Linked DNA regions of Saccharomyces cerevisiae S288C. The gene in region 3 interacts genetically with the main gene of each other region. Each region holds a gene or a part of one and is shown on either strand. Other genes may lie near its edges.

Region 1 (4,923 bases), on a different chromosome or scaffold from region 3:
GTGAATCTGTAACTACTGGATTCGTCATCACACCTTCGTTTGAAGATGGCTTTGCGGTTGTCACACCTTCCGAAATAGACGCTGCTGGGAAGCTTTCTTCAGCATTACGAGTAACTGGAGTTTGTTCGCCTTGTTCCTTCTTGTGCTGGTAGCCGTAGTTTTCTTGAGAGAATTGCAGCACTTTATCGAACATGGTTTTGAACTTATTTTTGGAAGAACCAGTTGTTTTTGTCTTCTGCAATGGAATGGGCTCGTATTCATGCACTTCGCTTTGGACTGGAATTTCAGAATCCCCTAAATAGTGCTGCTCATTGGGCGGGATGCTCCCAGTGGATCCCAGATGGCTAACGCCGACCTGACGAGGTTTAGCCGCCGTAGTGCTATTATCGACTGCTTCAGGTTGAATACCATGTGAGTTGTAATACCTCGCTTGTGCGATTTTCAAAGCTTGGTCATACATTTCTTTATCTGTTAGCCCTGTGTTTGCACTTTTAGGCTCTGGAACTGGGTCAACAGCCTTATTCGATTTAAAATGTGTAGACACAGAGTGATTGTGCACTTCATGGGGGGCGCTTTTAGTATTTCTGCTGAAGAAGGAACTTGTAAATCTTTTTGGTTGAACCTCGACATTAGATTTGACAAGATTAGCAGTCGCCGTCGGAGAATCACTACTGCTTCTCAAGGTCATTTTTTGACCCATCCTACTTTTCCTGGATTTGTTACTCCCGAGGGGGGCCGATGCGTTATCCGAAGCAGCATCCGTGTGATAAACGTTTCTTTTAGCAACCTCTAGTGCCTTCAGATACATTTCTGCTTCGGTTAATGGTTTCTTGGCCTCTGCTTCTGCGTTTTTCACGGCAGGCGGTCTTTTCTTCCTTCTTGTCGTCGATGCTTGCTTCCTTTTATTATGAATATATTTACTACTGGTCTGATGGGTGGGAGGAATATAATCTAATGCGTCACTGAAGTTTGATAAACTACTTTCTTCTTCTAGAGGCATAACGTCTGTAGAATACTTATGGTGGAAATATGATCCAAGTGGGAAATCTGGTTTTTCCACGTTTAGCTCTGAATCATCTTGTAAATGACTTTCGCTTACTGGGGAATATGGCTTTTCGTTATCTGTTTCGTTTTCCTCGATTATATCGTGAATGTTATCACTAGCTTGTTCCTCTAAAATGTCGTCATCTTGCAACATGTAATTTTCACTAAATTCATCGAAATGACGCTGCGAGTCACCTAATGGAACCAAATTCTTAGTCGTAGTCGTGGTTTCTACGTATTCATACCCATTTATTTTTCTTATTGTCTTTTTGGTAATTGATTGAGTCCTTCCTGAAGGGTCTGTTACTTGTGTAGTCTTTACGGTAATGGAGTTGGCCCTTGAATCGTTATTGTTGCCGGCCGTCGATTTGTTCTTACCGTAGTTTCTTCTGACATTCGCACCAGACGTCATAGAATTCATACGGCTCCCATTAGTAGTATAACCGGGCGGGTGTAAATGGTACTCTCCGCTCCTTTGCGACCTCAACGAGTAAGTCTTCTGTGAATACTGCTTAGCTGCTGCCCTGGACGTTGGCGGAGCGGCAGAGGATGTGGAAAGCCTTCTTCCTGGGCTCTTTACCGAACTTCTTTGTCTCGGTATTGAAGGTGCATGACTAACCAGCGAGTGCGACCTTGAGTAATTGGTTCGATCCGGTGATGCGGCAGAAGCAGCAGAGGCAGCAGCAGCAGAGAGCTGAGGACTTTTGTTATAATCTTCATGGTTCTGATAGTAGTAATCATACCTAGATAAATCAGGTACCCTCCTGTCCCTCTTTGTAAAACCAAATACCATTTTCAACTTTCTTGATCAACAGAATGTCTTTGTTTGTTTATTCTAGTGAAAAAATAGAAGTAAAAAGCAATCAATATAAGCAACGTGAAACGATCGAAGGAAACTAAAAGAGGTTTGATGTTAGAAGAATTGATTAACACCAAATCAAGCAATTTATTGAAGTATGGGTCCCTGATGTTTGTCCTTCTCGTTCTTGCTTTCCCTCCCCTCTTCTCATCCATTCGCTTCATTTATGCTTTTATTTTCTTCTTTTTTTTCTCACAACAAATGTCCGAAACAAAAAAAGGGGCCTCAGCCATTAAAGGTAGTGAAAGGCACTTCTAAGAGTTGCGCCAAACAAGGGAAGATTAAAGGGAAAGAAAAGCTCTGGCAGGCTAAAACTGGCAGACTGGTCATGAGTGAAACTGGCGAAACTTCAGAGTATTATAAGCAGGCGCTGGAAGAATACAAAGAGGTCCAAGAAGACGAAGACCCGGATGTGTGGGACACGAGAATATCCAAGACCGGATGCTACGTAGAGAACCTCGCATTACAGCTGTGCCATGCCGAAACAGGTGACTGGAGGCAGTGCTTCAACGAGATGGCGTTATTTAGGAAGTGTTGGGAAAAGAATGGTAATAGAGAGCGCGTAAGCACAGTGGACGTGGATGGGACGACCAGTAAGGATTCGGAAAAGAAGAAATGAAAATCTAAATGTCGTGATGTATAACTTGTATATAATAGACAGCTGCAGTGATCGAAACACATTGTTTCCCTTTATAGAACATAACTGTTACGCTTTTGAACGGCATTTCTATGAGCTTCTAGAATATTTTTCCGCCCTAGCTGGAGAAAGTTCAGACAGAAAATTATTTAAATAAGTCGAATATCAGAGGTGCTGATGCGCTCACATCACATAGAAAACTGGTAAGACAATATTCAGGCGATCAAGGAGTAAAAATGACTAGACCTAAAACTTTTTTTGATATTTCTATTGGAGGTAAACCCCAAGGCCGTATAGTTTTTGAGTTGTACAATGACATAGTGCCTAAAACGGCTGAAAATTTTTTGAAGTTGTGTGAAGGAAATGCTGGTATGGCAAAGACTAAACCTGATGTACCATTGTCGTACAAGGGTTCCATTTTCCACAGAGTGATCAAAGACTTCATGTGTCAATTTGGTGATTTTACCAATTTTAATGGTACTGGCGGTGAGAGCATATACGATGAAAAATTCGAGGATGAAAATTTCACTGTTAAACATGATAAACCATTCCTTCTATCCATGGCCAACGCCGGTCCAAATACCAATGGATCTCAAGCTTTCATAACCTGTGTTCCTACACCTCATTTGGACGGGAAGCACGTTGTGTTTGGTGAAGTGATTCAAGGTAAAAGAATTGTTCGTTTGATTGAAAACCAACAATGTGACCAAGAAAACAACAAGCCATTGCGTGATGTAAAGATTGATGACTGTGGCGTGTTACCTGACGATTATCAAGTGCCAGAGAATGCCGAAGCTACACCAACAGATGAGTACGGCGATAATTATGAAGATGTTTTAAAACAAGACGAAAAAGTTGACTTGAAGAATTTCGACACCGTCTTGAAAGCTATCGAAACGGTAAAGAACATTGGTACTGAACAGTTCAAGAAACAGAACTATTCCGTGGCTTTAGAAAAATATGTCAAATGTGATAAATTCTTGAAAGAGTATTTCCCAGAAGATTTGGAGAAGGAACAAATTGAAAAAATCAATCAATTGAAAGTGTCTATTCCATTGAATATTGCCATCTGTGCTCTTAAATTAAAAGATTACAAGCAAGTATTAGTAGCCTCATCGGAGGTGTTATATGCCGAAGCGGCTGACGAAAAAGCCAAGGCCAAAGCTTTGTACCGTCGTGGCCTGGCCTATTACCATGTTAATGACACAGATATGGCTCTCAATGACCTAGAAATGGCCACTACTTTCCAGCCAAATGACGCTGCCATTTTGAAAGCTATTCATAATACTAAATTAAAAAGAAAGCAACAAAACGAAAAAGCTAAAAAGTCTCTTTCGAAGATGTTCTCCTGATTACTTGCATTATATATATGCTTATATGTTTAAATACTAAACAGTTGCGCTGCCTCAGTAGTTAAGTAAAAAGTACGTAGAAAACTCTGTTAAAAAAATTATTTTTTCAGGCATAATAAGCGGATATTTTCCGATGTCCATTTATGCAGTGGGAAGATTAAGAAGCTAATGATACCGTAACTCCACCAGTGAAACTAAAACGTGCGTCCAAAAAGCGCTGACATAAATTACTTATTGATGTCCTCACAAGAATATACAACTTTTATAGATATACCAGTGACAAGAGCGCAGGTTGAACACTGTTCTTACTCGTTTTGGTCCTCACTGTATCCCAAATATGTGCCAAAATCCATAGTGTTAAAATCCTTACCGAAAAAATTTATTCAATATTTGGAACAAGACGGTATCAAGCTACCCCAAGAGGAAAACTCCAGGTCTGTGTACACCGAGGAAATAATAAGAAATGAAGATAATGACTATAGTGATTGGGAGGACGATGAGGATACCGCCACCGAATTTGTCCAAGAAGTTGAGCCATTGATAGATTTTCCAGAATTACACCAGAAATTAAAGGATGCTTTGAACGAATTAGGTGCAGTGGCTCCCAAGTTAAACTGGTCTGCACCAAGAGACGCTACCTGGATTTTGCCGAATAACACTATGAAGTGTAACGAGGTAAATGAGCTTTACCTATTGTTGAACGCATCCAATTACATAATGCATGACCTTCAAAGAGCATTTAAAGGCTGCGTGGACGGGGATGATATAAAAGGATTGAAATTTGACTTGGTACTTAGACAATGGTGTGATATGAATCCGGCACTCGAATTTAGGGTCTTCGTTAAGAATGCGCATATCGTTGGGGCCACCCAGCGTGATTTAAATTATTATGACTATTTAGATGAGTTGTCAGATACCTTCAAGGACCTTATTGATGAAATAGTTCATGATGTCGTCCTGCCCAAGTTTCCTGATAAAAGTTTCGTTCTTGACGTTTATATTCCAAGACCTTTCAATAAAATCTTCATTGT
Region 2 (4,641 bases), on a different chromosome or scaffold from region 3:
TCAAAACCACACGGCCAACTTCGACTAATCTCCAGTTAGAAGCCTTGACAATAGAATCGGTGGACATTGTTTATTTTATTTTTCACGACTCTCTTTGTTCACTAAGACAAACAATTAAATTTGTTATACAATCGGCAGACCTGATCAACTTAACCTTAGATTACTTTTTTTTCAGTTCAATAGTACTCGACGAGTACGAAGGGCAGTCCACTGAAAGCTCTACGCTCTCTCCGTTGCCAATTGGGCTGAGAATGGAAACACTGCGCGCTGAAGGGAAACCCGATTATGGAAAAATGCACGCAGCTGCAAGCAGCAATCTCTCGTAAACCGCTCTTTTCCGGGCGGAAAGTTAGGCCGACACCTGTTTGAAGCTTCATAAAATGCAAAATCGAAAAAAAATTGATAACGGACACTCAAAATTTGATATTTCACACATATTATGTATGTGATGTCAAGATGTAAAAATAGTGTATGGGTGTATTTGCGCTGTCAATTATTTTACTCAGAGTATAGTTACATTCTGGCAAGAATTTGCTGGTTTTGTCTTTTTTTACTTCACAACTAATGCTGGATTTTTTTATTTAAACCTAATTTCTTCAGTGAACTCCAATGTGTATTCATGTTTGATTTTAAAAGCTTCAATTTTAAAAGCTTCAATTTTAAATATCCGATGACTGTTAATCGCAGCTGCTAGTGAGATGACTGACAAAAGGTTCAGTAGAAACATAAAATATATAACAAATGTGTTGAGAATGATAGTATGATACAGTGGTATCATATTTCGTTCCTATTTGAGGTACCAGTAGTTCTTATCAAGAAGATTCAATGAGAAAGGTAACTGAATGATGATATAATTTGCGATCTAGGGCTAATCACTTGGAACACCGCCATGTTCTATATGGGTGATTAGCGAAGTGCGAAAAATTTTTTATCTGATATTTTCCTTGAACAATATTTCTAATAACACTTGCGTTGTTGCAACTGGCAGATTAACCATGTTGCTCAATATTCCTTCCTTGTATATGGGAGAACATCTTGAGGCAATGTTTAGAATTTAAAAATGTGTGCTCCCTTAAACTACGCTACTCAGAAAGGATCTTCGTGTGTACGGTAACTGACCAATGAATATTGTGCGGTAAGTATCTTATGTTTCTTGTTGCTGAATGTACGGTTCATGCAGTAAATTAGCTACTCTAGTTTTCTTGTTATTGCAAGAAGCCGCGCATTGCTACATGCAGAAAAAAAAAGAGGAAATAATATAAGGTATATCATTAAGAAGGATACTGGAAGAACTCAACAAGGAGAGAACGGTAGAAAGGTAATATATAATCATCATAGCGATGTCAAATTCTAGGTATTCTCAGACCGAATCAAACGTATGTAAATCACCGGCAACACGCATAGGTGTTTAGAATGGGACCTAGCTTGCTATATGGATGTTATAAGCTACTAACTATTGCTTCTGTACACCGGATGAGCAGATGTATCATCCCTTCATGTACATGTACTTTAAACAGAATGATAGGAAACTAGAGGGGTTAGCCAATAAATTAGCTACATTCAGAAACATAAACCAAGAGATTGGAGACCGAGCGGTCTCTGACAGTTCTGTCATAAACCAAATGACAGATTCATTGGGATCGATGTTTACCGATATCAAAAATTCGTCCTCAAGGTTAACCCGATCATTAAAGGCTGGTAATAGCATATGGAGAATGGTGGGTTTGGCGTTATTAATATTCTTCATTCTATATACCCTGTTTAAGTTATTTTAGTGAGCCAATCAAGCCAAAAATAAATAATGTACATAGATGTATTCAATTTAAGAAATAGGAAGAGAATGGAATAAGGCAGGCATGAAATTTCATTTGCCTTCTGCCGCATTCTTACCCAATCTATAACTGCCAATCGCACTACCCCAGTTAATTTTGGATCTCGTGACTGGTAATCTTCTTCTTAAGGCCTTAAACTGTTTTTCGTTCAAGTCGAAAAATGAAAGATCTAGATCATTTTCGAAATTCGTCTCAATATCCCTTATTGTGCAAACAACGTCATCAACGTTAGATTGATTGATATCCTTCCCAGATTGGAAACTAACGTTACCGTCTTCGTAATAGTGGACTTGCGTAGAGATTTGACCGGATAACTCCCTGGTCTCCAAATCGTAGATGTAGCTTGATCTCCAATGGCCGTTCCAGAAATTGTTTGGATTATATTTGGTGCTAACAATAATAATAGAAATTTTACTTATTTCCTCAGGGACTGGGTAAACAGCAAAACTGACATCACCTGGAAAGCTCTGAAGAAGATATTCGTGCAATTTATCGTGCAGTTCTTTCAATTGCCCTTTCTCTATCTTTGCATGCGTGAACTCATATGGTTCAATGTCAAGGCCCTTGCGCTCTAAATGGTTAACTGAAAATATTACGGAATTTACGGGATCAAAAAACTTTGCTCCTTCCTTGTTGTATTTGGAAATAATTACAGAGTTCCCGTTGACTTCTATAGGGATGCAATTCTGCACGTTGTAATTCTCAATAGCATCCAAAATAGTATTTTTGGAGTTTTCACTTGTGATCTTGATTAGATCGTCGTATACTTCCCTTAATTCTCCTGGAGGGCTGTCATTGATGATCTTGTTGATGACCTCTTCGAATTTACTACTAGACATTTTCTGTCGCTCTTATGATCCGTTGGATTAACGGTCTGAATAGTACCTTACAGTTGCTAACACCTTCCTATACTCAAATCCAGTACTAGCCACTGTAAAATCAGTATTCCAATAGGAAGAAAAAGGGGATCATAACCCGGCTATCGTATCACATGATAGTCACGTGCAGTGATTATCACGTGATCCGAACTGTTGTGAAAAAACGCGACGCGAAAAAAAAAATGCTGGGCTTCAACAGGAAAAAGACCAGGAATGAAAAATAGTTGGAAAGGAAACAACTGTCTTTTCCGGTCATTCCAACAAAGTTGCTAGATCCGCGGAACCATTTTCGTCATTTTTTTTTTTTCACTCTTTTTTCTCATATCGGTGGGCATTGTACCTGATCATGCTAGACAAATAACGTGGGAGGAGGGAGAAAGTATTGGAATCTAGACAAAGATTTTTAAGTTATTTTTCTATTGTTTCCCTCCTTGGCTTGTTGCATCCCGTTTTGTTTTATTTACTTGCTTTTTTTTTTTCTTATTTATTTATTTATTTATTTATTGTTATTTGGCTATTGTATTCCGTGAACCCGTTTTTCTGCTACATCGGCTTTATAATCCGGACCTGATTTAAGTTAAAACTACAGTTTCTTGTTCGTTACCGTTTTTCTGTTCCATACAGATATTTTTGTCGGTTGATCGCTATTGTTTTTATTATTCATACCTCCGGTAAACATTTAGATAGACACAGTATCAATAAACAAGAGCTATGTCGACAATAAAGCCAAGCCCTTCAAACAACAATTTGAAAGTGAGGTCAAGACCAAGACGCAAGTCTTCCATAGGTAAGATCGACCTCGGGGACACTGTACCTAGTTTAGGTACTATGTTCGAGACAAAAGAATCTAAAACGGCTGCTAAAAGGCGTATGCAGAGATTATCTGAAGCCACCAAAAATGATAGCGACCTGGTCAAGAAAATCTGGTTTTCATTCCGAGAGATAAGTTACCGTCATGCCTGGATAGCTCCCTTGATGATTTTAATCGCGGTATATAGTGCCTATTTCACTTCTGGTAACACTACAAAGACAAATGTGTTACATAGATTTGTCGCTGTGTCATACCAAATAGGTGATACCAACGCATATGGTAAAGGTATTAACGATTTGTGCTTTGTATTTTACTATATGATTTTTTTCACATTCTTACGTGAATTCCTAATGGATGTTGTCATTAGACCGTTCGCTATTAGGTTACACGTCACTTCTAAGCACAGAATAAAAAGAATCATGGAACAAATGTACGCTATTTTCTACACCGGTGTTTCCGGTCCTTTCGGGATATATTGTATGTACCATTCGGATTTATGGTTTTTCAACACAAAGGCAATGTACAGAACATATCCAGATTTCACTAATCCCTTCTTATTCAAGGTATTCTATTTGGGTCAAGCTGCATTTTGGGCTCAACAAGCCTGCATTCTTGTATTGCAACTAGAAAAGCCAAGAAAAGATCATAACGAGTTGACTTTCCATCATATTGTTACTTTACTATTGATTTGGTCTTCCTACGTATTTCATTTCACTAAAATGGGACTGCCAATCTATATCACAATGGATGTTTCTGATTTTCTTTTGTCATTCTCCAAAACTCTAAATTATTTGGACTCTGGATTGGCTTTTTTTTCTTTTGCTATCTTTGTTGTTGCGTGGATTTATTTGCGTCATTACATAAATTTAAAGATCCTATGGTCCGTTTTAACGCAATTTCGCACGGAAGGTAACTATGTCTTGAATTTTGCCACTCAGCAATATAAATGTTGGATTTCCTTACCAATTGTCTTTGTATTGATAGGCGCTTTGCAATTAGTGAATCTTTATTGGCTGTTCCTTATTTTTAGAGTTCTTTACAGGATTCTATGGAGAGGTATTCTCAAGGATGACAGAAGTGATAGTGAATCAGACGAAGAAAGTGATGAAAGTTCCACTAC
Region 3 (6,461 bases):
TAAGGAATATTCTTCTCAGAGAGCAGATCCAAATTGTTCATTCTCATGGTAGCGCTTCCACGTTCGCTCACGAGGGAATTCTTCATGCTAATACTATGGGATTGAGAACTGTGTTCACGGACCATTCACTCTACGGTTTTAATAACTTAACGTCGATTTGGGTGAATAAGTTGCTAACATTTACCTTGACAAACATAGATCGGGTTATATGTGTTTCTAATACATGCAAAGAAAATATGATTGTTAGAACAGAATTAAGTCCTGATATAATCTCAGTAATTCCCAACGCAGTGGTGAGCGAAGATTTCAAACCAAGGGATCCTACTGGTGGCACCAAGAGAAAACAAAGTAGGGATAAGATAGTGATCGTGGTCATCGGAAGGCTCTTTCCAAACAAAGGGTCCGATTTACTTACTCGCATAATTCCGAAAGTTTGTTCCTCACATGAAGATGTCGAATTTATAGTAGCGGGCGATGGTCCAAAGTTCATAGATTTTCAACAAATGATTGAAAGTCATAGACTACAAAAACGTGTGCAACTCTTAGGCTCTGTTCCACATGAGAAAGTCAGGGATGTATTATGTCAAGGTGACATATATTTACACGCTAGTTTAACAGAAGCATTTGGTACAATTCTAGTTGAGGCCGCATCTTGTAATTTGCTAATTGTAACGACACAAGTCGGAGGAATTCCCGAAGTGTTACCAAATGAGATGACTGTTTATGCAGAACAGACATCCGTTTCTGACCTTGTTCAAGCAACAAATAAAGCTATCAATATCATAAGAAGTAAAGCTTTGGACACTTCCTCTTTTCATGATAGCGTGTCTAAAATGTACGACTGGATGGACGTAGCCAAAAGGACAGTAGAGATATATACTAATATATCTTCTACTTCTTCCGCTGATGATAAAGATTGGATGAAAATGGTAGCAAATCTTTACAAAAGAGATGGAATCTGGGCTAAACATCTTTATCTGTTATGTGGAATTGTAGAGTACATGCTTTTTTTCCTCTTAGAGTGGCTATACCCCAGGGATGAAATCGATCTAGCTCCAAAATGGCCCAAGAAAACAGTGTCTAACGAGACGAAGGAAGCAAGAGAAACTTAAACTTTACACAAAACAAAGGAATGTTGTATCCATTTATTTACTGTATTTGAATGTTATAGACCTGCTAGAATCACTCAGTCATTTGTAATATGTAACAACATTTTGAGATTTGAGTCGTATATTTTTCCTCTTGCGCTTTAAATACGAAATGTAAGAATGATCTCTTTCATGCCAGAGTTCATCTTCTGCCAAAGGTTGATCAAGCTTTAAATCTAAAATCCGTGAGGTACTCACGAAGTTGAACATTTCTATCCCCAAGGTGTCCAAACTGTGGTTGATATGTTCTTTGAATGGTTGCTTATTTTCCACAGCTGGAAGCTCGTCTAACCAGCTGAAATCGATGCTCACTCGTTTCTGCTCTTTTATTTGTCGTCTTATGGTTTCTCTCAATTCCATGATTTCCGAAACTAAATTTACTCTATCTACTTTCTCTCTGTCTAAATAAATTTTGTTCAACGTATTATTATCCTTTATTTGATATAGTTTGAGCTCCATATTCTTCAAACGGTTTACTAGGTTGAAATTTTCTTCTTTCAGCTTGTTAAGAATTTCTGTTTTGCCACAATTTTCCTCATTTTTGTTATTTAACTCTACTTTGAGTGTTTTGATATTCTCTTCAAGGGTTTTCCTCTCTAAATCCCTCCCAATAATAATTTTAATTTTTGTTTCCAATTCAGTTAGCATATTTTCCTTTTGGACCAGTACTTCTTTGAGTCGAATGTTCTCTTCATTCAAGCGATCGCTTAATAACGAGTTTGAAAAATTGCCCTCCTTAATATTACATTGACTTTCTGAATCACTTGTTTGTTGACTGGGTTGCTCAGGAAATATAGTTATGTTTTCTAAGAGACTTTCTATTCCTTGAAAAAATACCTCTAGTTTTTTCAAAGAAGAAATACGTTTGTAATCTTGTCGCAAAAACAGTGCATCTGAAAAAAGTATCGTTAAGATAGAGGACAGGGTTATATCACAGGAAGGATATAAAAATAACCTATTGTCTTGTTTCGAAATTTCTTCCTTTCCGATAAGTTTATCTATTCTGGCAATAAGTGAAAGTGATCTCTCGTAAAGGGAACCAATAAGACATAGGGTATCATTGTCATTGAAATTGCTGTTCGTTCTAAGAAAAGCCAACAGCTTCGGAACAGTTGTTTCCAATATCGGATGAAGTATTTTTAGTATCAAGGTCACATCCTTATCTAGAAACTTATTATCTTCTAAAAACTGACAAATGGAAAAGGCGGTTTCCTGTTTAGAAGAAAACTTCCTTTGCAAAAACTCGCTTAGCCACATCGAAATCGGAGCAATATTTACTTTGAAACATTGTAATGTCGTTTCCAGGTGATCGGGAGTATTCTTTATGGTGTAAATATGAAGCGCATAACTGATAGAGCTCAACACTTTTAGAATTATATGGATTTCAATATTCTCCAACTTTCCAAAATTTTCACTTTCGATTACTTCGGCTAAATATTGCAATTGAGAGGAAAGAGCCGCCAAATGTGGTTGTGCAAATGGCTCATATATTTGGTAAAATTTCTTTAGCAATTTATTTTGATATAATTCCTCCTGTAAAGTGTTCACTTTTAGTTCAAGACTTTGAAATTTGTGAGATGTTTTGGCTTCAATAGATTCCAATGTTGCTTTTAATCTTGAATTTTCTTCGATATATGTGCCTGCTATCTCCTTTTCATTTTCCAATGCAGATTGCAAATTACTTAATTGCAGTCTCAGTTCTTGCTCGAGTTGCTCATAGGTAATTCTTAAATTTTCATCCAATTTTTCTTTTGCCTGTAGTTCCTCCAACTCATTGTTTAAAGCCTTTATATTACTTGTGAGTAGGATATTATCATTAGTCAATTTATCAACAATATTAGATGATTTACTTTGAGCTTCAATCTGCAAGGCAAGGTCGCCGATTGTATTATTAGTCTGTTGCAATTGCAGACCTAAATCCGATATTTTTTTAGATAATACTGCATTTTCTTCTAATAACTGAGTATTCTCCTCGAGCAGGTCCTCTTGCACCTTCATAGCTTTATCATATGACAACTTTGTTTGGTCGAGTAGTCCCTGAAGAAGATGGCTCCTTTCTAACAGTGTGCCTTTGTCGAGATCCGGTGCCATTACACTATCTGAAGCATCTAATAGGTGATTGAAATTATCCAAATGAGTTTTCATATTACCATTTTCCACTTTCAGTTCTTTGACTAGTTTATCCAATCTTGAGATTTTAGACAATAGAACAGTTTCATTAGTACTCAGCTTTTCAACGGAAGTTTTCAGCTCATGATTTTCTATTTTAATTTTATTTAATTTGGACGCCAATGATTCACATTTTACTTGTAGATTCTTAATTGTTTCTTGCGCTGCATTACCATTTAGCAAACTATGCTCATCGTCATCTGGTTTATAAAACTGCAACGTATCTTTCTTGCAGAAAAGACCATAATAACCACCATTTGAATTAGCTTTCTTCAGGTCGATATCAAAGTAACGAATACCGTTAGCGCTTCCATCATTCTTTCCTAACGGTTTATCTAGTTCAATGCCGTACCATATGCCTTTTGCAAATTGAGTTTCCCCAATGAATTTCACCCGCCCCTTCATCTCGTTGACTAGAACTGTGTCCTGTAAGCTTATCTTCTGCATATTTGTGTCAACTTGAACACCTGCATTGCGCATTTGTCCAAGGCTGTACTGCGAGGTTGATGGAGATCGAATCTAGAATAGTATTATGTACTTTGCAAAAGTAAAGTACAACATAAAGTCTAGCAGCATATGAGTAACTCTCTACAGTTACGCCAACAATCTCAGTGTGGAGGTTAGAGTAAAAAGAAAGCACCTTACAACTGTACGTTTACATAAGTGACTTTTCAACATATATGCATTTTTTGTTAAGCATTGTAAAATACCCGGTTGAAAAGCGACATGAAAAATAACGACATGTTAGATTCAAAAGTACCTACTGCTCTTTAACAGCTACTTAAGGATTACCTGATAAGAGTAATCCACCGTAAAGAACATTATCAGCAACAAAATTTGTAATCCATCATGTCTGGAAGCTATCAACATTTATCAAACGTTGGATCGCGTGTTATGAAAAGATTGGGGAATCGACCCAAAAACTTTCTTCCTCATAGTGAAAAGTTCATTAAAAAATCTACGCCTGAGTTCATGAAGTCAGATTTAAAGGAAGTAGATGAGAAAACTAGTTTCAAGAGTGAAAAAGAATGGAAGTTTATACCTGGCGACAGAGTAGTAGTAATGAGCGGGGCTTCCAAAGGAAATATAGCTGTAATTAAATCTTTCGATAAAAGAACAAATTCATTCATATTAGATGAGAATGGGCCCACAAAGACTGTTCCAGTTCCTAAACAATTCTGGCTTGAAGGCCAAACATCTCACATGATAACAATTCCAGTTTCAATTTTGGGAAAGGATTTAAGGCTAGTTGCTGATATTGACGATGAAAAGACCCCAGGAAAGACAAGAACGGTGGCAGTAAGGGATGTTTCCTTCAATGGTTCCTACTATGATGCAGACTACAAAAAGGTAATGCCATATAGATGCGTAAAGGGTCAACCAGACTTGATCATTCCATGGCCTAAACCAGACCCAATTGATGTGCAAACGAACTTGGCTACCGATCCTGTAATTGCTAGAGAACAAACATTTTGGGTCGATTCCGTAGTGAGAAACCCTATTCCAAAAAAGGCAATACCAAGTATTCGCAATCCTCATTCTAAGTACAAAAGGGGTACCTTGACAGCGAAAGATATAGCTAAGCTAGTAGCACCTGAGATGCCCCTAACAGAGGTAAGAAAAAGCCATTTGGCAGAAAAAAAGGAGTTGGCTGAGAGAGAAGTACCAAAACTAACTGAAGAGGACATGGAAGCTATTGGGGCGAGGGTTTTTGAATTTTTGGAAAAACAAAAAAGAGAATAAATGTACCAAGTGTATGCACTCTATTTTTATATTTGATTCTCTAGTGTGATTTTTTTAATCAGTATATCCCCTTCACTATTCACGTAGTAAATAAGTTATATTCGACCTGTATATATGAAAGCATAAAGTAAAGTTCAAAGAATATTCAGATATTGATGTGGGCAAACGTGATGACTTCAAATTACAAAATCTTTTCTTTAAAAATAAATTATGTGCGTATGTACATTATTTTTAACCAATAAAAGGGTTTAAATATTTATTTACAAGATTAATGACTGCCCTTTAAGCGTTGTCTCTTTATCTCATTGTACTAATGCTAAAATCGTTCCTGTGGTCGCTTTGCTTCACCAGGATATATCCAATCCCAGCGGCCTTTTTTATGTATAATGGCTAGGATTAGAATTGCCGGTAGGTGCAATACACTAGCCATAAAAGTTTTCCTTGCATAAATGTTGGCTACACTTAGACCTTTATTAAACTTGACGTTATCTTTTAATGTTTTTGCAGAATAGTTGATTCTTTGTTGCCAATAGAATTTGAAAGCCCAGAACGTTAGCCAGGCATTTATAAGTCCGGAATCTATTTGGTAGTACCAATCTGTGATATTAAAATAAGACAATCCGAAACATAAAGGGAACATTAGGATAGAGTATCTCAACGACACACGGGCGTTTAGGAGCGGATTTTTCCATGCAGTCATAACGTATCCGGCATTTTTGTATTCATTTCTAATGTTATGACTCAACGTATTAAAGTGTGGGAATTGCCAAGCAAACAATAGACCAGCAAGGCACCAAGATCCCGGATGTGAAAGCGGACTTGCGGCTGCCCATCCCATTAGAGGAGGTACCATTCCTACTAGGGCACCTAACCATGTGTTAATGATATGCTTTCTTTTCATAGACGTATAGGCCCAGCCATATAACGCGATATTTGAAGCACCAAGAATAGCAACGGTAGGATTAACACCAAAGTACAAGATAGATACTCCTAATGTTCCGATAAGTGCGGCAAACTCGAATGCCTGGGTAGGTGTAACATCACCTCTAACAACGGGCCTCGCCTGAGTTCTCACCATTTGTCTATCAAATTCTGGCTCTCTGCCCATATTTATAGCGTTTGCAGAACCGGAACACAAAGTAGTGCCTACTGTTAAACATAACAATTCATTGACGGAGGCTGGATATGGAGATAAAGCATACGAACAAATGGCACTTAACATCACTAGAATGGTGAGTCGGGGCTTGGTCAACTGAAGATATGGCATAATTACCTTCTTCTTTAAAGTTTTCATATTCAGCCCTTCGCTGATTGCGTGAGATGGTCTCTTAGATTTTCTTACCATCGGGTCTACAAGTTTGACATTAAATGGAAGTTGTGTGCTTGCATCGGTAGTAGCTT
Region 4 (5,985 bases), on a different chromosome or scaffold from region 3:
GTTGACTACTGAAATTGTAGAAGTCGTAATCAAACTGAGTTTCCGAAATTGGTGAAGAATATATATTGGGGAATTGTTGATAGTAATTCAATCTTGGCTGATTATAGTTGTAATAGTTATAATAACCATTCATACTAGAAAATTCAGACCTTGAGTTACTCTGATAAGATGGTGATGAAAACATGTTATGCGGCATCAGCATGGGGGTTTCATAATTGGAAACTGGAGATAATAGGTTGTTTGTGGAAGTAGGCTTCAAGTTGAAATTTACGTTTCTCGTATCACCAACGTTGACAATTGGAGATAATAACGTAGGAACCGCTACAGCAGGTTTGAGTTGATTTTGCTTGAAAATCTCAAAATTCTTGACGAACTCAAAATAAAGAAAAGCACTATCATACAATTCCCAGTTAAATATTCTCAACCATTGTCTCTCGAAATCATTGATAACATTTATCAGTATTCCTGTTGCCTGTGACCATGAGTTATTGGTGAAAGTTTTGTCATCGTTGAACTTGTTTGCTAATATGAACGCAATCATAGTATTTTGATAAATGATATTGATCGAATTGCCACCAATTGAATGTATCCCATTAGATAATTTATTGATATACTTGAAAAGATAATCTATAGCCAAAAAAATAGTAGCTGAAGGCAATCTCGTGGCATTCAACACAGAAGATATGCCCTTGAAAAAAAGATCAGTGGTCTGGTCATCAGTACTATAGTTCGCGTTGAAGGCAACAAAGGCATTTTCCATGATAAATTTTGACATTATAGAAATATCGTAGTCCAAGTTCTCACTGACGCCCCCATTTACTTGGTTAGATTGTTGTGGTTGTTGTTGTCCATCCCGAATCATTTGAACAGGAGGAGGAATAACGTTGCTGTTATTGTTACTAGTGTACATTAGGCCCGGAGGGGGAAGGATAGGTGGTTGCTGGTGCTGTTGAAGTGGTGCAGGAGGAGCATAGTAAGTAGAACTTGGCTGATTGAAGTAACCTAAAGAAGCCATGGATGGCAACTGAGTATGAACTGATTGCGAGGGAACATGACCTAAATATTTAGGCAGTTGCCTAGCAACATTAACAGCAGAAGTAGCCGAACCTTTCGGAAAAGGCAAACTAATTGGATAACCACTAGAATTACCCATCGTTTCAGGATAATACTTGAAAGTATTAGCCATTTCTATATGAAGGGGGGTTTGTTGGGGGGAGGGGGGCTGAAGACGAATTAACTCAATAACTGTCTTAATAATGTTAAAGAAAAAAAAAATTCCTTGTAGTGTATAAGCTAAACGCTAATAAAGCTGGTTTAAATGTGTGAAACGAAGTCTCTTCGAATACTGTAAAATAACCCCACTGAATATACACAAACACACAGAAAAAGGATTAAAGTTAATAAAAAAAAACGACTCGAAGACTTAAAGGCAAACCTTCAAGTAATGCAGTCTCTGTAAAAACAACAGCAAACACAAATTTGCTAAATTTTGCTTAAAAGAGTCTCCTGAGAAACGTTTTCTTTTAATTTGGGTCAATAAAGGAAATTAACCCAGTAAAAGGCTTTAGAGAAAAAAAAAAGGAAGAAAAAACGAGAACGAGAATCTAGTATATGATCCTTGTGCGTTTTTCTTAAAAGATCAATGATTTGTGGTGCTTAGTTTCTTTTAGAATCTCTTAGAAAGTAGGTAATGTGTCTAATGACTAAAAGCAATTATTCACTTTGAACCTTTTCTCGTGCCAAATAAATTCAAAAAAAAGAAATTAAAGAAAAATTTTTCCCGTAACCCGGAATTAATCAACATAAATGCGTTTAATGCTGGCGGAAAGAAGTTATATTCGATAGTTTACGTAGGATATGTATGTTATTTCCTGGCAGTGGCCAGTAGACTTTGATGAGTAAGAAGGGAGGAGCGCATCTTCCTTCTTGGAACCGCTGTAGTCGGAGCGGAGGGGGTCGAGGGCCCCTGCTCATTGAATGTGGTATCTTGCATACTTACGTCCACTTCACTTGCAATGGCGTCTTGATCTTGGTGTAGTTCTGGTTCTAGCTCCGGTTGTGGTTCAATCATAGGGCTGGGACTAAGGTCGGGACTCGTCCACTTTACTTTTTTTTGGGAAAAATTTTGCCGTTGTAGGGTCTCAGCGGGAACAGCCAAGTCAGCTGCCGTCGTGTTTATTATATTTATATTTGTGTTTGTAAAATTGCTATCGGGATTGGCGATAAAAGTTCTGGCAAAAGATTCAAACTCCTCGTCGATATGAACCAGGTCTTGAATTATGGATTCAATGTTAGGTGTCCTATTCATCAGCCACTTTGATAGAAATTTAAATCGGGAGTTCAAACCCGGATCTGACATTAATTTTTCTGTCATTATGGAGGAATTAACCAAGATTTCGTTTCTTTGTAATTCTGATATTTGATTTAAACACGACTCCAAGTACACCAGGTCGTAAGTTTCATCCCAGTCCTCCATCTCTCTTAACTTGTTCAAGTCAATGGAATGTACCTGATGAATGACGGAACTCAGAGTGTCGGTTTCATCAAATTTCATTTCTAACTCGTGTATTTTGTTATAAAGCTGACCACTGATCATTCGGCAATTACTAATCACCGGCTGCATCTCGGCGGCTGTACTTTCCTCCCGTTCAAATAATAGTATCAAATTATCCACTTCTAGCTTGACCATTTGCAAAAACCGCCTTTTACAAAGTATTAATGATTTCAAGGTCTTGGCTACTTGATACGTTTCCACTCCTGCATACGTTTGCTGAACACGATTGACGCACTCGTTAATGGCTAACTGGATCTTTTCTTTGTTTAGTTTGTATTTCGTTAGCTTCAAAGAAATCATCTTCTCTTCACGTTCGCGTAACTCTTCGATTTGTCGCTTTTGTTCCGTAATCATTTTCAAATAAGATCCAACGTGTCTACTCAAAGACTGCTGATTTCTGATTATTTTGGTCTTTATTTCTTTAGCACGATTTGCATATTTCAAAGTATTCAATGTCTCATCATAATGTGAACTGCTGGGCGATATGCAAACAATCATGACTGTTTTGCAATTGCCACCCAGTGAAAATTTCAACAGCCTAGTTAACTTGGAATCCCTGTATGGAATATGACAGCTTCTGCTGCCATCATTCAAGCACAACGCGTTAATGCAATTGCCCAGTGCTAGTAGGGATCTATTTATATTCGCACCTTCGTGTAATCTTATACCACGGTTTCTTGTTGCGGCGGCTCTTTCGCTCCCAGCTAGATCGATTATTGAAAGTGTAGCAAATGTATGTTGCGAGGTCAAGTCTACAAGCTTATTTGTCTGCATGATGTGTATTTGCAGCACTGCATGAGATCGTGAAGATACTTCGTTTGCTTCCGTCGGTGACGTAGTCCTGTTTATGTTTCCCTGGACAACTAAGTCCATCACATCTTCTACCGTATTTGGGTGGTGATACGACAAATTCGCCACTTTGATGTGGTTCTGCGTATCTTCTCTAATGACCAATCTTTTAGATGGTGTCTCTGGTTTCAAAAGGTCTCTGATTCTTTCATTGTATATTTCCAAGTAAGACAGTGAAATCTCGAAGTCTTTTTCGTCCTTCAGGTCTGTAATTTTATTGAATAGTTCCTCCATGGCTAGAAATATGATCCCCGGCTGTGAAGGTGTGCCACTCACAGTATATGTCTTGCCACAACCAGTAGCACCGTAAGCAAATACGGTACTGTTGAATCCATCTAAAACAGAATCTAGGAGCGGGCTGGTGGTCTCTTTGTATACACGGGCTTGGGAAGAGGTTTCATCAAACAATTTATCAAATACAAACTTGATTTCGCCACCGTGCCTTCGACGTTGCGAAGAAAATTTGTTCGTAGCATTGCTGTTATTGATAGAGGACGCAGTGGCCTTAGTGGCCCTTGCACGCATCGAGTTCAGGACCTGATCACTCACTTTGTTCAATGGGTTTCTATCAGCTGGGTCGAATATGAGCATTCTATCATCCACACAATCCACAATTTTACGTATACCCTCCGGTCTAATTACTTTTCTCCTCAGCAAGCTATTTCTTTTGCTCCGCGTAGAACCTTCTTCAGCGTCTATGTCTATATCGGAGTCGGAGTTATTACTCATGGGTAATATTAACGACGAATCCCCCAAACCGGGAAAGTTAGCTTCTGCACCACTAGCTTCATTGACCAATCTTGTTTTTTCCATTGACGTAAAGGGCCTTACTCTTATAGCTACGACTATGGAGGATTGTCTTGTTTCAGGCACGTTCATGTTAGTGTCAATAGTATACAGCTGGAAAGAAAACTCAAGTAGTTAAAGAATGCAATGAAATGATAATCAGATAAACGATGCAATCAGGGAATATGAAAATTTTAATATAAAAAAAAAAAAAGAAAAATCAACAGCTTCGAAACACTGATCTGGACTTTTTTAACCTGCAGATATTTGTTACACGCAGATTATAAATTTTGTCTCTATAGGAACAGCTGAACACTATACTGGATACCGATGTTCTACCGACCAGACGTGAATGTATCTGGTCCTTTTGTATCCAAGGATAAGACAAACCAAACCCATACTAAAGTCATCAAACAAGGCATAATACAGGTAAAATAAACAAAACAAAAACTAAAAACACGGCTAGCTAAGGGAAAAAGTAGTAATGACCTAGGGTGAATAGCTTTTTTCAATTAGGTTTTTCCTTTTTTGTACTATATTAAATAGGGCTAAACTGTTTTAAGCATAGGGCAAAGAACTTATAAATTAGGTTTGAAAAAGGGCCATGAAGCCTTGTAGTAAAAAGAGACCAATTAGAAGAGTCATGGAAGATTCGTAAAACATAGAAACAGTAACAATTATAACAAAAAAAACACAACTGCAAGAAACTTCAGCATCGTCATGTCATTTAGATTCAACGAAGCTGTGTTTGGTGATAACTCTTTCAATGAACGAATACGGGAAAAGTTATCTACGGCTTTGAACTCACCGTCTAAAAAGAAATTAGATATCTTGAAAAGCGGAATTAAGGTACAGAAGGTGGATTTTCCTACAATACCACAGCTAGAAATTCTGGACCTAGACATTATCACGCAGCCCAAGTCTCTGGCCAAGGGGATTTGCAAGATTTCATGTAAGGATGCTATGTTGCGGATACAGACAGTCATAGAGTCGAATCTTTTATTGATTAACGAACAGGATACACCCAGCTTTACCATGCCCCAGCTCATCAATAATGGATCGTTCACAATTCCTATAACTATGACGTTCAGTTCCATCGAGCTAGAAGCCATCACGAATATTTTTGTAAAGAACCCTGGAATTGGGATATCCTTTAATGACGTTGATTTGGATTTTAAGTTTGATTGTTCTGTAAAAATTCTCCAAAGCACCATTGAGAGAAGGCTAAAAGAGTCCATGCATGTAGTGTTCAAGGATGTTCTTCCTTCTTTGATCTTCAACACGTCACAGAACTGGTTCACCAATCGCGGCGAGAGCACCAGTACCATCCCTGGTAAAAGAGAGCATCATCATCAACAAACTACAATGTCTAGGAATGTAATCTTGGACGGATCAGATTTTCAAGAGCTTTCTCCAATAAACATGCTACGTCTTTCAAGCATTGTGTCGTCGAGGTCAACACTGTCACTACATTCCACTGTGATGAATTCTCTTTCCGCTATACCTGGTTGCTTGGAAAGACAAAACTTGTACAGATTTATATCAAGGATGCCCTCTTTAAACAATTACTACTCTTCGCAATCATTTCCACAACCAAAGTCATCAACCGTATCATCAAAACAATTGGTAAAGCCATTCTACTGTTCCCACAATCTATTACCTAAAACAGTGTTAGATTCCAGCCAGTACGATTTGGCTACGATAACCAAGATTCAGTCTCGACTTTTCGATAGGAGTAACAGCAACGACGACAATGCCAAACCAAGGAGAAGAAAGATCAAATGCAAAAAGACCCG

What was found.
Region 1: mutations in NIP100 (region 3) and CPR6 impair growth when combined (synthetic growth defect), as found in Saccharomyces cerevisiae (4 studies listed by BioGRID, with this or other methods).
Region 2: mutations in NIP100 (region 3) and CAP1 together harm fitness more than expected from each alone (negative genetic interaction), as found in Saccharomyces cerevisiae (5 studies listed by BioGRID, with this or other methods).
Region 4: mutations in NIP100 (region 3) and KIP3 together harm fitness more than expected from each alone (negative genetic interaction), as found in Saccharomyces cerevisiae (5 studies listed by BioGRID, with this or other methods).

Annotation. Positions count from the first base shown.
Region 1 is NC_001144.5:571,065-575,987, reverse strand, and holds CPR6 (peptidylprolyl isomerase CPR6), read left to right. Parts: upstream 1-2,776; coding exon 2,777-3,892; downstream 3,893-4,923. Other genes in the region: MSC3 (Msc3p), read right to left, coding at 1-1,837; COA4 (Coa4p), read left to right, coding at 2,070-2,522; cell proliferation protein CDC123, read left to right, coding at 4,130-4,923. UniProt on the Saccharomyces cerevisiae protein: PPIases accelerate the folding of proteins. It catalyzes the cis-trans isomerization of proline imidic peptide bonds in oligopeptides.
Region 2 is NC_001143.9:427,332-431,972, reverse strand, and holds CAP1 (Cap1p), read right to left. Parts: upstream 2,672-4,641; coding exon 1,865-2,671; downstream 1-1,864. Other genes in the region: 60S ribosomal protein eL14 RPL14A, read right to left, coding at 1-67; SFT1 (Sft1p), read left to right, coding at 1,341-1,376, 1,518-1,775; sphingosine N-acyltransferase LAC1, read left to right, coding at 3,422-4,641. UniProt on the Saccharomyces cerevisiae protein: F-actin-capping proteins bind in a Ca(2+)-independent manner to the fast growing ends of actin filaments (barbed end) thereby blocking the exchange of subunits at these ends.
Region 3 is NC_001148.4:218,977-225,437, forward strand, and holds NIP100 (Nip100p), read right to left. Parts: upstream 3,798-6,461; coding exon 1,191-3,797; downstream 1-1,190. Other genes in the region: phosphatidylinositol N-acetylglucosaminyltransferase SPT14, read left to right, coding at 1-1,112; mitochondrial 54S ribosomal protein uL24m MRPL40, read left to right, coding at 4,167-5,060; COX10 (protoheme IX farnesyltransferase), read right to left, coding at 5,377-6,461. UniProt on the Saccharomyces cerevisiae protein: Motor-binding component of the dynactin complex which assists cytoplasmic dynein by increasing its processivity and by regulation of its cargo binding.
Region 4 is NC_001139.9:83,182-89,166, reverse strand, and holds KIP3 (tubulin-dependent ATPase KIP3), read right to left. Parts: upstream 4,283-5,985; coding exon 1,865-4,282; downstream 1-1,864. Other genes in the region: CLG1 (Clg1p), read right to left, coding at 1-1,186; ERMES complex subunit MDM34, read left to right, coding at 4,910-5,985.